Linked DNA regions of Saccharomyces cerevisiae S288C. The protein of the gene in region 1 purifies or fractionates together with the protein of each later gene. This does not show direct contact. Each region holds a gene or a part of one and is shown on either strand. Other genes may lie near its edges.

Region 1 (6,725 bases):
TTCGCTTTTTTCAAATGCTAACATGTAAGCAGGCAATGTCTTTATAGAATCCGGCAGTATCAATTGCGTTGATGAGTTACTGCTAACCAATCCTCTATATTGGGTCAAGATTTCGACCATCTTGTCATCAATTAATCTTCTGATCTTTACAAAGTCACAATCACCGAGCGTCTTTATGACATCTTTGATCATTATTCTCATGACAGGATTTTGATTTATAAACTTGAAAATTTCACGAATGTTATTAGATACCGCACCTGACGTGTTAATAGAACGAACTTTTCTGACACCATCAATATCAGTATATAACAATGCAGTTTGGAAATGAACATCGGTTCCTGTTTTTATTTTACTGTCATATTTTAGTAAGACATCTAAGGTGGTATCTCTAGTCAATACAGGAATAATTGGATCATGATCCGTATTATCAGATGAATCGCAGTAGTACTGTTCCACAGATAGCCCAGTAGAACAGCGAACTTTCAATAAAGCTTGATAACCAACAATATTGGAGACATTTGTAACCATGTCGTTAACCAAAGTGAAGGCATCCGTCTCTTGTTGAAAGTGGGGATAATATTTCAAAATACCGGAAGTCATCTCTACAGGATGGCCCACAGTGGCCATATCAATGAATCCCGCATTGGTCACATATAAATCTAAAGAAATGTAGGATTTCAAAAAATCCGATGCTAATTTCTTATAGAACCCATTGTCGCATTTAACATGAGCAATGTGTGCATTGTCCCTTTTTAGCGATAAATTCCCGTTGCCGATCGTTGGCAAGCTGTTCAAAGAACAAATAATCTTACCACCTTGCCCGCCAGTTACTGTGTCTAACGCTAATTTTGCGGCTTGTAAAGCAGAACCATAACAGACTTGGGGTACGTGACTATACTTGTCGGTGGAGATGTAACCACTAATTTTTATCAATGTGTCATTAATGATTTTCATCGAGTTTCCGGGTTTAACAAATAATCCATTATAAAATGGTAAGAAAACATCGTCCAATTCACTTACAATGTACTCTTGTGCATTATCTAAATCTGGTCTCAAATTAAAGAACCGCAACTTATTATCATAAACGATTATAGCAACCTCACAATTTGGCTGGAAATCTGAAATATACTCAATACATGACCTGACACCTTCCACCATGGCTAAAGAACTTCCGTTCTCATTAGCTAACAATGAAACATCAATCAAAAACACGTAGTGTAGTGGTAAAAGCTCCTTCTCCTGAATAGCATTGTAAATACTTGGCACCAAGAAATCGACTGTTCCGTGCAATAACTCTGATTTTTCGTTCAAATCACTTCGTTGCCCATTGGGACCCATGGGCGCAAAATGCTCACCTGGAACTTGCATCTTAACTCTACAAATATTACAAATAACACTTGAATCATAAGTGAACTGAAATTTAGGATTAGCATACGCACGACAACGTCTACAACGCAAAGGCGTACCATCCATTGGTAATGGAATTGTGGGAACTTCTGCATCATTCGGTGTCAAAGTGGAAAATGGTTGGATGGTTAATCCAAGTGGTAGCTTCGTGGCGGCTCTCAAGTGTTCACTTTCGGGGATGTTGTACATGGATAAACTCATCAAGTGCGGATCACATGAACCTTGGTCAACACAATAAAACTGGGTGGTCGGCAAGGGCGGAACAGAATCTCTACAAGTTTCGAAAGATCGTTGTAAATATTGAGCTTGATCTTCAAATCTTTGAGTTGGAACAATGTGAGATGTAGGTTGAGGCGCTGTCATATCAAGCATAGATTGACCATATGGCGAGGAGGCCTCACTCGCACCGAATCGCTCTTGACTCACCATTACAGGCGTGGACATAACGGAACCCGAACCGTTGTTGAAGCCACCAAATTGCTTAGGGGTAAAGGCTTGAGGTTGTTGAAAACCATCCTGCTGATTCAATTGGGGTGTAGTGTAGGGTGAATTGCCCAAAGTAGGAACAGTGCCCGAGGAAAAGTTATGATATGCTCTGTGAGGTCTTCTACTTTTTTTGGAAGATGCTCCGCCCGTATGCACAGTAGATTCATCAAGAGAGAGCGCTGAAACACTAGCTGCCAAAATATTCTGCTGAGACATGATGGTCCAATATTCTTCTGCAAATGGCCTCCTTAGTAACCCTCAAAATTACTAATTTCTTCAGTTGCAAGCTCCGATTTGGTTGAATCAGACCTAAGTTGTTACAGCGTACGTGTTTTTTTTATTTATTTATTTTCTAACATTTTTCTCTTTGGTTTTTCCAGTTTGATCGTTCCCACGTTGAGACGAAACGAAGGAAAAAAAAGAACATTTTTTTCGCATTGTGCACGGAAGGCTTCACCTTCAATAGGGCAAACAGAAGGACGAGCTGCATCACTTTTAGCCGCCACTAATCAACTCCTTCAGATAGATCGCCAGAACGCAAATAAGTGAAATTTGAAGATCAACTTGAATCAAAAAGCCAAAACTAAGAATTGTACGCTACTCTGCCAGACAATATTTTACGGACACGCGCATTTCAAGACAAAGCCATAATTCATGCCTTTTCAACTAGCATCTGGACGCCGCTGAGATCATAGGAACAAACAAAACGCACGAAAATAGCTAACGCACGTATCGAATACCAAATCAGTCTGCATTTATTGTACCCTCAAATTACAAATTCAACCAACAATTGTTCAAAAGACCACCTTGAATCTTGTGTTTCCTAATTTGGTAAGTGATCACGTGGTCAGACAGTTTTCCAGGTCAAACTGAAAAAAAAGCTCAAGAACCATTTTTCTTTAATAGCCTTTTTTAGTTGTATTCTAATAAACAACACCAACAAAATCGGAGGTATCACACGTAATTACATAAAGAAGATTAAATTCAGAGAAGATCTATCACACGATATCTCCATAGTTACAAAGAATACCGCATTTTGCCGATGTCACTCACTGAGCAGATCGAGCAATTCGCCAGTAGGTTTCGCGATGATGATGCCACTCTACAATCGAGATATTCCACTCTATCGGAATTGTACGACATAATGGAATTACTGAATTCTCCTGAGGATTACCATTTTTTCTTACAAGCTGTGATACCTTTACTTCTAAACCAGCTAAAGGAAGTTCCTATTTCATATGATGCGCATTCACCGGAACAAAAGTTGAGAAACTCTATGCTTGATATTTTCAACAGGTGTCTCATGAACCAAACCTTTCAACCCTACGCAATGGAAGTGCTCGAGTTTTTACTTTCAGTACTACCAAAGGAAAACGAAGAAAATGGGATATTATGTATGAAAGTGCTGACGACACTTTTCAAATCATTCAAATCAATACTACAGGACAAACTCGACTCCTTCATACGAATAATTATTCAGATTTATAAAAATACACCAAACCTTATAAACCAGACGTTTTATGAAGCCGGGAAAGCAGAACAGGGTGATTTGGATTCACCAAAAGAACCACAGGCAGATGAACTTCTCGATGAATTCTCCAAAAATGATGAAGAAAAGGACTTTCCATCGAAACAATCATCCACGGAGCCAAGGTTTGAAAACTCTACCTCATCAAACGGGTTGAGGTCATCTATGTTTTCCTTTAAAATCCTTTCTGAATGCCCTATTACAATGGTCACTTTATATTCGTCTTACAAGCAGTTGACTAGCACCTCGCTTCCGGAATTCACTCCTCTTATTATGAATCTATTGAATATACAAATTAAACAACAACAGGAAGCGAGAGAACAGGCGGAATCACGGGGAGAACATTTCACTTCTATATCGACGGAGATTATCAACAGACCGGCTTACTGTGATTTTATATTAGCCCAGATCAAGGCCACGTCTTTCTTGGCTTACGTATTCATTAGAGGATACGCTCCTGAATTTTTGCAGGATTATGTGAATTTTGTTCCTGATTTAATCATAAGGCTTTTACAAGACTGCCCTTCTGAACTATCATCTGCTAGGAAGGAACTTTTGCATGCCACTAGACACATTCTATCTACAAACTACAAAAAGCTCTTTTTACCCAAATTGGACTATCTGTTTGACGAACGTATACTTATTGGTAACGGTTTTACTATGCATGAAACATTAAGGCCCCTGGCTTATAGTACTGTGGCAGATTTCATTCATAATATAAGATCTGAATTACAACTAAGTGAAATTGAAAAAACAATAAAGATTTACACTGGATATCTATTGGATGAGTCATTAGCCTTAACTGTACAAATCATGAGTGCAAAATTGCTGCTTAATTTAGTTGAAAGAATATTAAAATTGGGAAAGGAGAACCCACAAGAGGCCCCTAGAGCAAAGAAATTGTTAATGATAATCATTGACTCATATATGAATAGATTTAAAACCTTAAACAGACAGTACGATACAATAATGAAGTACTATGGAAGATACGAAACGCATAAGAAGGAGAAAGCAGAAAAGCTCAAAAACTCTATACAGGATAATGACAAAGAGAGTGAGGAATTTATGAGGAAGGTACTGGAACCATCCGATGACGACCATTTGATGCCACAGCCTAAAAAAGAAGATATCAATGATAGTCCCGATGTTGAAATGACAGAATCTGACAAAGTGGTGAAGAATGACGTTGAAATGTTTGACATAAAAAACTACGCACCTATATTATTACTACCCACACCAACAAATGATCCCATCAAGGATGCTTTTTACTTATACAGAACTTTAATGTCTTTCTTAAAAACAATAATTCATGACTTAAAAGTCTTTAACCCACCTCCTAACGAATATACGGTTGCTAATCCTAAATTGTGGGCTTCTGTTTCTAGAGTTTTTTCATATGAGGAAGTCATTGTTTTCAAGGATTTATTTCACGAATGTATTATTGGTTTGAAATTTTTTAAAGATCATAATGAAAAATTATCTCCAGAAACAACAAAAAAACATTTTGATATATCAATGCCCAGCCTACCGGTCTCAGCCACCAAAGATGCTCGTGAGTTAATGGACTATTTGGCATTTATGTTTATGCAGATGGATAATGCCACTTTTAATGAAATAATTGAACAGGAACTGCCATTTGTCTATGAAAGAATGCTGGAGGATTCTGGGCTGCTACATGTCGCGCAATCCTTTTTAACAAGTGAAATAACCTCCCCAAATTTTGCTGGCATCCTTTTAAGATTCTTGAAAGGGAAATTGAAAGATTTAGGAAACGTTGATTTTAACACTTCTAATGTCCTAATACGACTTTTCAAATTGTCCTTTATGTCCGTCAATCTTTTCCCCAATATCAATGAGGTTGTTCTTCTTCCACACTTAAACGATCTAATTCTAAACTCCCTGAAATACTCAACTACAGCAGAAGAGCCTCTAGTATACTTTTATCTTATTAGAACTCTTTTTAGAAGTATAGGTGGGGGCAGATTTGAAAACTTATATAGATCGATTAAGCCCATACTACAGGTGCTATTACAATCTTTAAACCAAATGATACTTACTGCACGATTGCCCCACGAGAGAGAACTTTATGTGGAATTATGCATCACTGTACCAGTTCGGTTAAGTGTGCTTGCTCCTTATTTGCCATTTTTGATGAAACCATTGGTATTTGCATTACAGCAATATCCTGATCTCGTTTCGCAGGGTTTAAGGACCTTAGAATTATGTATTGATAATTTGACCGCCGAGTATTTTGATCCTATAATCGAACCGGTAATCGATGACGTTTCGAAGGCCTTGTTTAACCTTCTGCAACCTCAACCATTTAATCATGCTATCAGCCACAACGTAGTCAGAATACTGGGCAAATTAGGAGGTAGAAATCGTCAATTTTTAAAGCCACCAACGGACCTCACGGAAAAAACGGAACTAGACATTGATGCGATAGCAGATTTCAAAATCAATGGTATGCCGGAAGATGTACCGCTTTCTGTAACGCCAGGAATCCAGTCCGCTTTGAATATATTGCAAAGCTACAAAAGTGATATTCACTACAGGAAGAGTGCTTACAAGTATCTAACCTGTGTACTACTGTTAATGACAAAATCATCAGCAGAGTTTCCTACGAATTACACGGAACTGTTGAAGACAGCAGTGAATTCTATAAAGCTAGAGAGGATTGGAATAGAAAAAAACTTTGATTTGGAACCAACTGTAAATAAGAGAGATTATTCGAACCAAGAAAATTTGTTTTTGAGGTTACTGGAGAGCGTTTTTTACGCAACTTCGATAAAGGAACTAAAAGATGACGCAATGGACCTACTGAATAACCTTTTGGATCATTTCTGCCTATTACAAGTAAACACTACGTTGCTTAATAAGAGAAACTATAATGGGACATTTAACATCGATCTAAAGAACCCAAACTTCATGCTAGATAGCTCATTGATTCTAGATGCTATTCCCTTTGCCCTTTCGTACTACATTCCAGAAGTTCGTGAGGTGGGTGTTTTGGCGTACAAAAGAATATACGAAAAAAGTTGTCTGATATATGGGGAGGAACTAGCTTTAAGTCACTCCTTCATACCGGAATTAGCTAAACAGTTTATCCATTTGTGTTACGACGAAACATATTACAACAAAAGAGGCGGTGTCTTGGGTATAAAAGTTCTCATTGATAATGTTAAGTCGTCCTCAGTTTTCCTAAAAAAGTATCAGTATAACCTAGCCAATGGTCTATTATTTGTGCTGAAGGACACTCAGAGCGAGGCCCCATCTGCTATAACAGATAGCGCTGAGAAATTAC
Region 2 (3,026 bases), on another chromosome or scaffold:
TTTCCTTCTAAGGGTTTTTCATACTCAATAAAATCTGCAGGGACGTCTATGTAAGAAACCCCTGCAGTGCCTTGTATACAGTAATTCAAAGCCTTCTGAGTAATCATGTCAATATTGTCAGGGGTTAACTTTCCGGTAAACTTCAAAAATGGGGACAAAAGACTAACTTGATCCAACTCTTGAAACCCGCCTTTATGTATATCACTTTGAGAAGAACTCCCTGCAATTACTAGAAGAGGCCACCTATTACTCATTGAGTTGTATATACCAGCCAGTGCGTGGATTAAACCGGGGCCCCCGACAATAAGTAACACGCCGGGCTTATCACTAATATAACCATAAGCAGAGGCTGCATATGAGGCAGCCTGTTCGTTCCTGCATGGAATGAATTTGATACCGTTGGCAACCATCGTATCCGCTAGTTGGACAATAGGGATGCCCACAATTCCAAAGACTGTGTCGATGCCATATTTTTGTAAAAGTTGAGCGAAGTGTTGGGTAGCGGTCGTGGTCATATTGATGGATGGTTGTGACGGTTTGAATGTAGAGAGTATATTCTTCTTATCACATAAAAGTAACCAATGCCTTTTTTTTCCTTTATATATAATGTGGTTATATACCAACCTTTTGTAAATTTCCAACTTTTTTCTTTAGTTAGCTTTGCTTGAACTTCGGGCCGAAGGGCTCGGATAAGAGAAACAATAATTTTGTTTTCATAAAACATCGATGGCTTGACTACTTCTTTTATCCTGTTCCTGAGATTCTTTCATCTTGGCGATCTTACACCTTAGTTCCATAATAGGGTCTCTTACAAAATCCCTCATTGAAACGACTTGAGAACACGCTGCTTGCGGGCAATCTCTTGTCGTGTATCCTTGTAAATAGTTTTGAATGCCGTCTCTATCGAAGACGTGATTACATTTTCTTGATATCAATGGTGCTTCGTAAGGTTTGCAGGTGATAGGACAAGTCAATTCAATTTTACCACCTTCTATTTGTAGATCGTCTTCGTCTGCGGGGTTTTGCAGATCCGGTATTACACAAGTTGGATCATTCCATATGTACGGCAACACTTTTAGTATCTTGAGTGTATCTGTGTTATTAACCATGGTTGCAGGCTCTGGTGTGGGCATATTTAGATATAATTCAGATAATTTGGGAGCGGTGAGTTCTCCGGTACGATATTTATCCCAGGTAGAAAGGTCGATTTGCGGACAGGCATCTGAGGATTGTTTGAAATTTTTTTTTAAATCTTTAATATGTTCGTCAAATGAGTTGGATTCCGATTCGTATGTCGAGAGGAGTTTGTAGGTGCTAGTAATATCTGCGACCTGCTCTTCAATGCCGATGGTGGAAGGAGATGTAGAATCCACTAATTGATTTATGGTCTCATCAATTTGTTTGTAGCATTGTTGATATATATTTGATAAGTCTCGGGCATGTAAATTATGGAAGTACTTACCTGATTTTGGGTGTAGAGGAACTGACTTGGGTATAGGATTATCGTTCAAGGCCATTTTTAAAGTTATTCTTTTTTTATATAGTCTTGCCTTGGTTTCTTTAACTGACACGATTATTTTAGCAAGTTTTTTTCTACACAGGAAAAGAGGAAGAAAATAACCAGAGAAGCACTGGTAAAAAGATACTTCTGCGTGCCGGAGTAACCAGAATCAAAGGAACGCATAGATGGATAAAGAGGTAAGTGAATTGGTAGTGTTGCAGCTAATACACACTTTAATTTCCAACAAGAATGAAGAACTGGTTAGGAACGGGGGAGGAATCAACATGATTGGGAATAATCTTCGAATATCGCTAGTCAAGTTGACTAACGAAATACAAAACAATTTGCTAATCAACGAGCTGACAAATTTAAGAAGGCAAAGCAACGTGGCAAATGGAAACAGGAAACTGGGCATCAACGATATCCTGACCATAGTTAAGAATTTATTCCCAGAGTACAGAACAACACTAAACGATGGACAACTTAGTCTACACGGTTTGGAAATGCATGATATCGAGAAGCTCCTTGACGAAAAGTACGATCGATTCAAGAAAACGCAGGTCGAACAAATAAGGATGATGGAGGATGAGATATTGAAGAACGGTATAAAGACCGGTGCATCGCAACTGCAACCACATGCAAATGCTGGCAAAAGTGGATCTGCTGGTACCAGTGCTACTATAACTACGACTACGCCACACATGGCGCATTCAATGGACCCAAAAAGAGAAAAACTATTGAAATTATACAGAGATACCGTTCTGAATAAATTGGAAAGTAAAACTGGGAATTTTCAGAAGCTATTCAAGAGTCCCGATGGTAGCATTATCAAGAATGAGATAAATTACGAAGACATAAAGAACGAAACGCCCGGCAGCGTTCATGAACTGCAGCTGATTCTTCAAAAGAGCATAACGGACGGTGTAATGCGAAAGGTCATTGGTACGGACGACTGGAAATTGGCTAGACAAGTGCAGTTTGAATTGGATGATACGGTGCAGTTCATGAGAAGAGCACTAGAGTAAGGAGATAGTAGGCGACACTTCGAAAATCTAAAGTCTTGTAACATTACTATTATATACTATTTTATTAAAAAAATACACACACAATTCTTTAACAGAACAATATATAACAAATGAAGCGACATGTTTCTCAAAAAAAAACATAGTAGGTAGGTAAAAATGGGAAAGAACGGGACAAACAAAACGAAGAGCAGGGTGTATTTGCCCACACACGGCAAACAACATCCATTCACGCCCGCATGCCCAAAACTTTTTTGCGATAAAACGCCCACGCAAATCACATCGTTCCAACAGAGGAATCGAACAGCACAGATACAAAGTAGGAATATAGCACACACACAGGAAAAATTAATTAATTATTAGAAATTAAAAGGGTTGGGGAGAAAAGAGGTCTAATTTATTCATTAATATTCAGTAATTGAAAAAAAAAAAAAAAAGAGGATAACTAAGAGAAAACAACATCAAGCTCGTTTGGCTTGCTAGTGATCGCTTAGAATCTTTGT
Region 3 (2,475 bases), on another chromosome or scaffold:
TGGTTGTGTTGCTTGGCAGCCCGCAAATTGGTCTTCCCTCCTTGTTATTGTATTTTCTGTTATTAGAGCATACAGAACATAGAAACTCAAGATCAGATACAGTTTTTGCACGCCATGTCTCAAGGTACTTTATATGCTAACTTCAGAATTAGAACTTGGGTCCCAAGAGGTCTTGTCAAGGCTTTGAAGCTGGACGTTAAGGTTGTTACGCCAGATGCCGCCGCTGAACAGTTCGCAAGGGACTTTCCCTTGAAGAAGGTTCCGGCTTTCGTGGGTCCAAAGGGTTACAAGCTAACCGAGGCAATGGCGATTAACTATTATTTAGTAAAGCTTTCACAGGACGACAAGATGAAGACTCAACTTTTAGGTGCCGACGATGACTTAAATGCCCAAGCGCAAATCATCAGATGGCAATCTTTGGCCAACAGTGATCTGTGCATCCAGATTGCCAACACCATCGTTCCCTTGAAGGGCGGCGCCCCCTACAACAAGAAGAGCGTTGATTCTGCGATGGACGCTGTTGACAAGATCGTCGACATCTTCGAGAACAGATTGAAAAACTACACCTATTTGGCTACGGAAAACATCTCCTTGGCCGACTTGGTGGCTGCCTCGATTTTCACCAGATACTTTGAAAGCCTGTTCGGTACTGAATGGAGAGCTCAACATCCAGCCATCGTGAGATGGTTCAACACCGTTAGAGCCTCACCCTTCTTGAAGGATGAATACAAGGATTTCAAGTTCGCTGACAAGCCATTGAGTCCCCCTCAAAAGAAGAAGGAAAAGAAGGCCCCAGCCGCCGCTCCCGCCGCTTCGAAGAAGAAGGAGGAAGCCAAGCCAGCTGCTACCGAAACTGAAACTTCTTCCAAGAAACCAAAGCACCCATTAGAATTATTGGGCAAGTCAACTTTCGTTTTGGATGACTGGAAGAGAAAGTACTCCAATGAAGACACCAGACCAGTTGCTTTACCTTGGTTTTGGGAGCACTACAACCCAGAAGAGTATTCCCTGTGGAAAGTCACCTACAAGTACAACGATGAATTGACTTTGACTTTCATGTCCAACAACTTGGTCGGTGGTTTCTTCAACAGATTGTCCGCCTCTACCAAGTACATGTTCGGTTGTCTGGTAGTCTACGGTGAAAACAACAACAACGGTATTGTTGGTGCAGTTATGGTTAGGGGCCAAGATTACGTTCCAGCTTTCGATGTCGCACCAGATTGGGAATCTTACGACTATGCAAAGTTGGATCCAACTAACGACGACGACAAAGAATTCATCAATAACATGTGGGCCTGGGATAAGCCAGTTTCCGTCAATGGCGAACCAAAGGAAATTGTTGACGGTAAGGTCTTAAAATAATCTCTTCGTACTATCCTTCATGTCGCCTTTTATTATAAAGTATGCTAGGTAGTTTTATCTATATCTTATTTATGACGCAATATAGGGTAACAGAGTTTTTCTGCTCTGAAACTTCCGCAGAAAAAAAATCAAGTTTTCCTTTTCGTATCTTGGATTATTGTTATATAATAGATGCATGTATTATATGTATAGCAGTGATTTGCTTATTTTCTTGATTCTGAGGAATCGAAGAAGTAACTTAGCGTTTCTTCCGTTGAGCAGAGCAGTATAATAATCCTTCAAATTCTTTAGGTTACGGGGTTTTCCTGTTGCGATGACCGAAGAAACTATTACTATAGATTCTATTTCAAATGGGATACTGAATAACCTGTTAACCACATTGATCCAGGACATTGTAGCTCGGGAAACCACTCAACAACAATTGCTGAAGACAAGATATCCGGATCTTCGCAGTTATTATTTCGACCCGAACGGATCTCTCGATATTAATGGACTACAGAAGCAACAAGAGTCCTCTCAGTATATTCACTGTGAGAATTGTGGCAGGGATGTGTCCGCAAACAGACTAGCAGCTCATTTACAGAGATGTTTGAGTAGGGGTGCTAGACGTTGACACTAGGTGGTGGTTTATGGGTAATTGAAAAGGCACAGACAGATTTTAGCCCATTTCTTGTGGGCATAGGTTCATAAAAAAAGCAAGATTCTTACATTTTATGCGGCATATCTGCACATAGAAGTTCATGTAGTTATGTGGTAACATCTCAAAGAGAGAAGGCGAAAACTGTTTTAGCTATTAACTACATGTTTTTATAATAGCACCTCCCATATATGATGCCAAATGATACCTTGCATTCCGTTATGTGGAAGGGTTACACATAAGTACGCTATAACAATGCATTCAATTTTCTACATATCAGAGTAATATGCTGCAACATCACACCCATATAATATAATTTTTTGAAAGAGTTCCTAACTCTTTTTTGTTTTTCCTGTACCTATATACTCAAATAGTCCGCCGCAAGTAGCAGCTCTAACGACATTTCTGTCGGTATTTCAAACTCTGGAATCTCATCATCGTCCTCGCTAACGCCGCTGTACTTCAAATTATAATTT

What was found. The genes of interacting proteins can lie anywhere in the genome.
Region 2: the proteins of TRA1 (region 1) and EAF5 purify together in Saccharomyces cerevisiae (affinity purification with western blotting; 5 studies listed by BioGRID, with this or other methods). This does not show direct contact.
Region 3: the proteins of TRA1 (region 1) and SGF11 purify together in Saccharomyces cerevisiae (affinity purification with mass spectrometry; 5 studies listed by BioGRID). This does not show direct contact.

What each region holds. Positions count from the first base shown.
Region 1 is NC_001140.6:299,826-306,550, forward strand, and holds the start of TRA1 (histone acetyltransferase TRA1), read left to right. Parts: upstream 1-2,935; coding exon 2,936-6,725. Other genes in the region: SFB3 (Sfb3p), read right to left, coding at 1-2,109. UniProt on the Saccharomyces cerevisiae protein: Essential scaffold subunit of the transcription coactivator SAGA complex. SAGA acts as a general cofactor required for essentially all RNA polymerase II transcription.
Region 2 is NC_001137.3:119,785-122,810, forward strand, and holds EAF5 (Eaf5p), read left to right. Parts: upstream 1-1,686; coding exon 1,687-2,526; downstream 2,527-3,026. Other genes in the region: PXP1 (putative indolepyruvate decarboxylase family protein), read right to left, coding at 1-515; SUMO ligase MMS21, read right to left, coding at 714-1,517; PMP2 (proteolipid ATPase), read right to left, coding at 3,014-3,026. UniProt on the Saccharomyces cerevisiae protein: Component of the NuA4 histone acetyltransferase complex which is involved in transcriptional activation of selected genes principally by acetylation of nucleosomal histone H4 and H2A. The NuA4 complex is also involved in DNA repair.
Region 3 is NC_001148.4:464,287-466,761, forward strand, and holds SGF11 (SAGA histone acetyltransferase complex subunit SGF11), read left to right. Parts: upstream 1-1,675; coding exon 1,676-1,975; downstream 1,976-2,475. Other genes in the region: CAM1 (translation elongation factor EF1B gamma), read left to right, coding at 115-1,362; ELC1 (elongin C), read right to left, coding at 2,358-2,475. UniProt on the Saccharomyces cerevisiae protein: Component of the transcription coactivator SAGA complex. SAGA acts as a general cofactor required for essentially all RNA polymerase II transcription. At the promoters, SAGA is required for transcription pre-initiation complex (PIC) recruitment.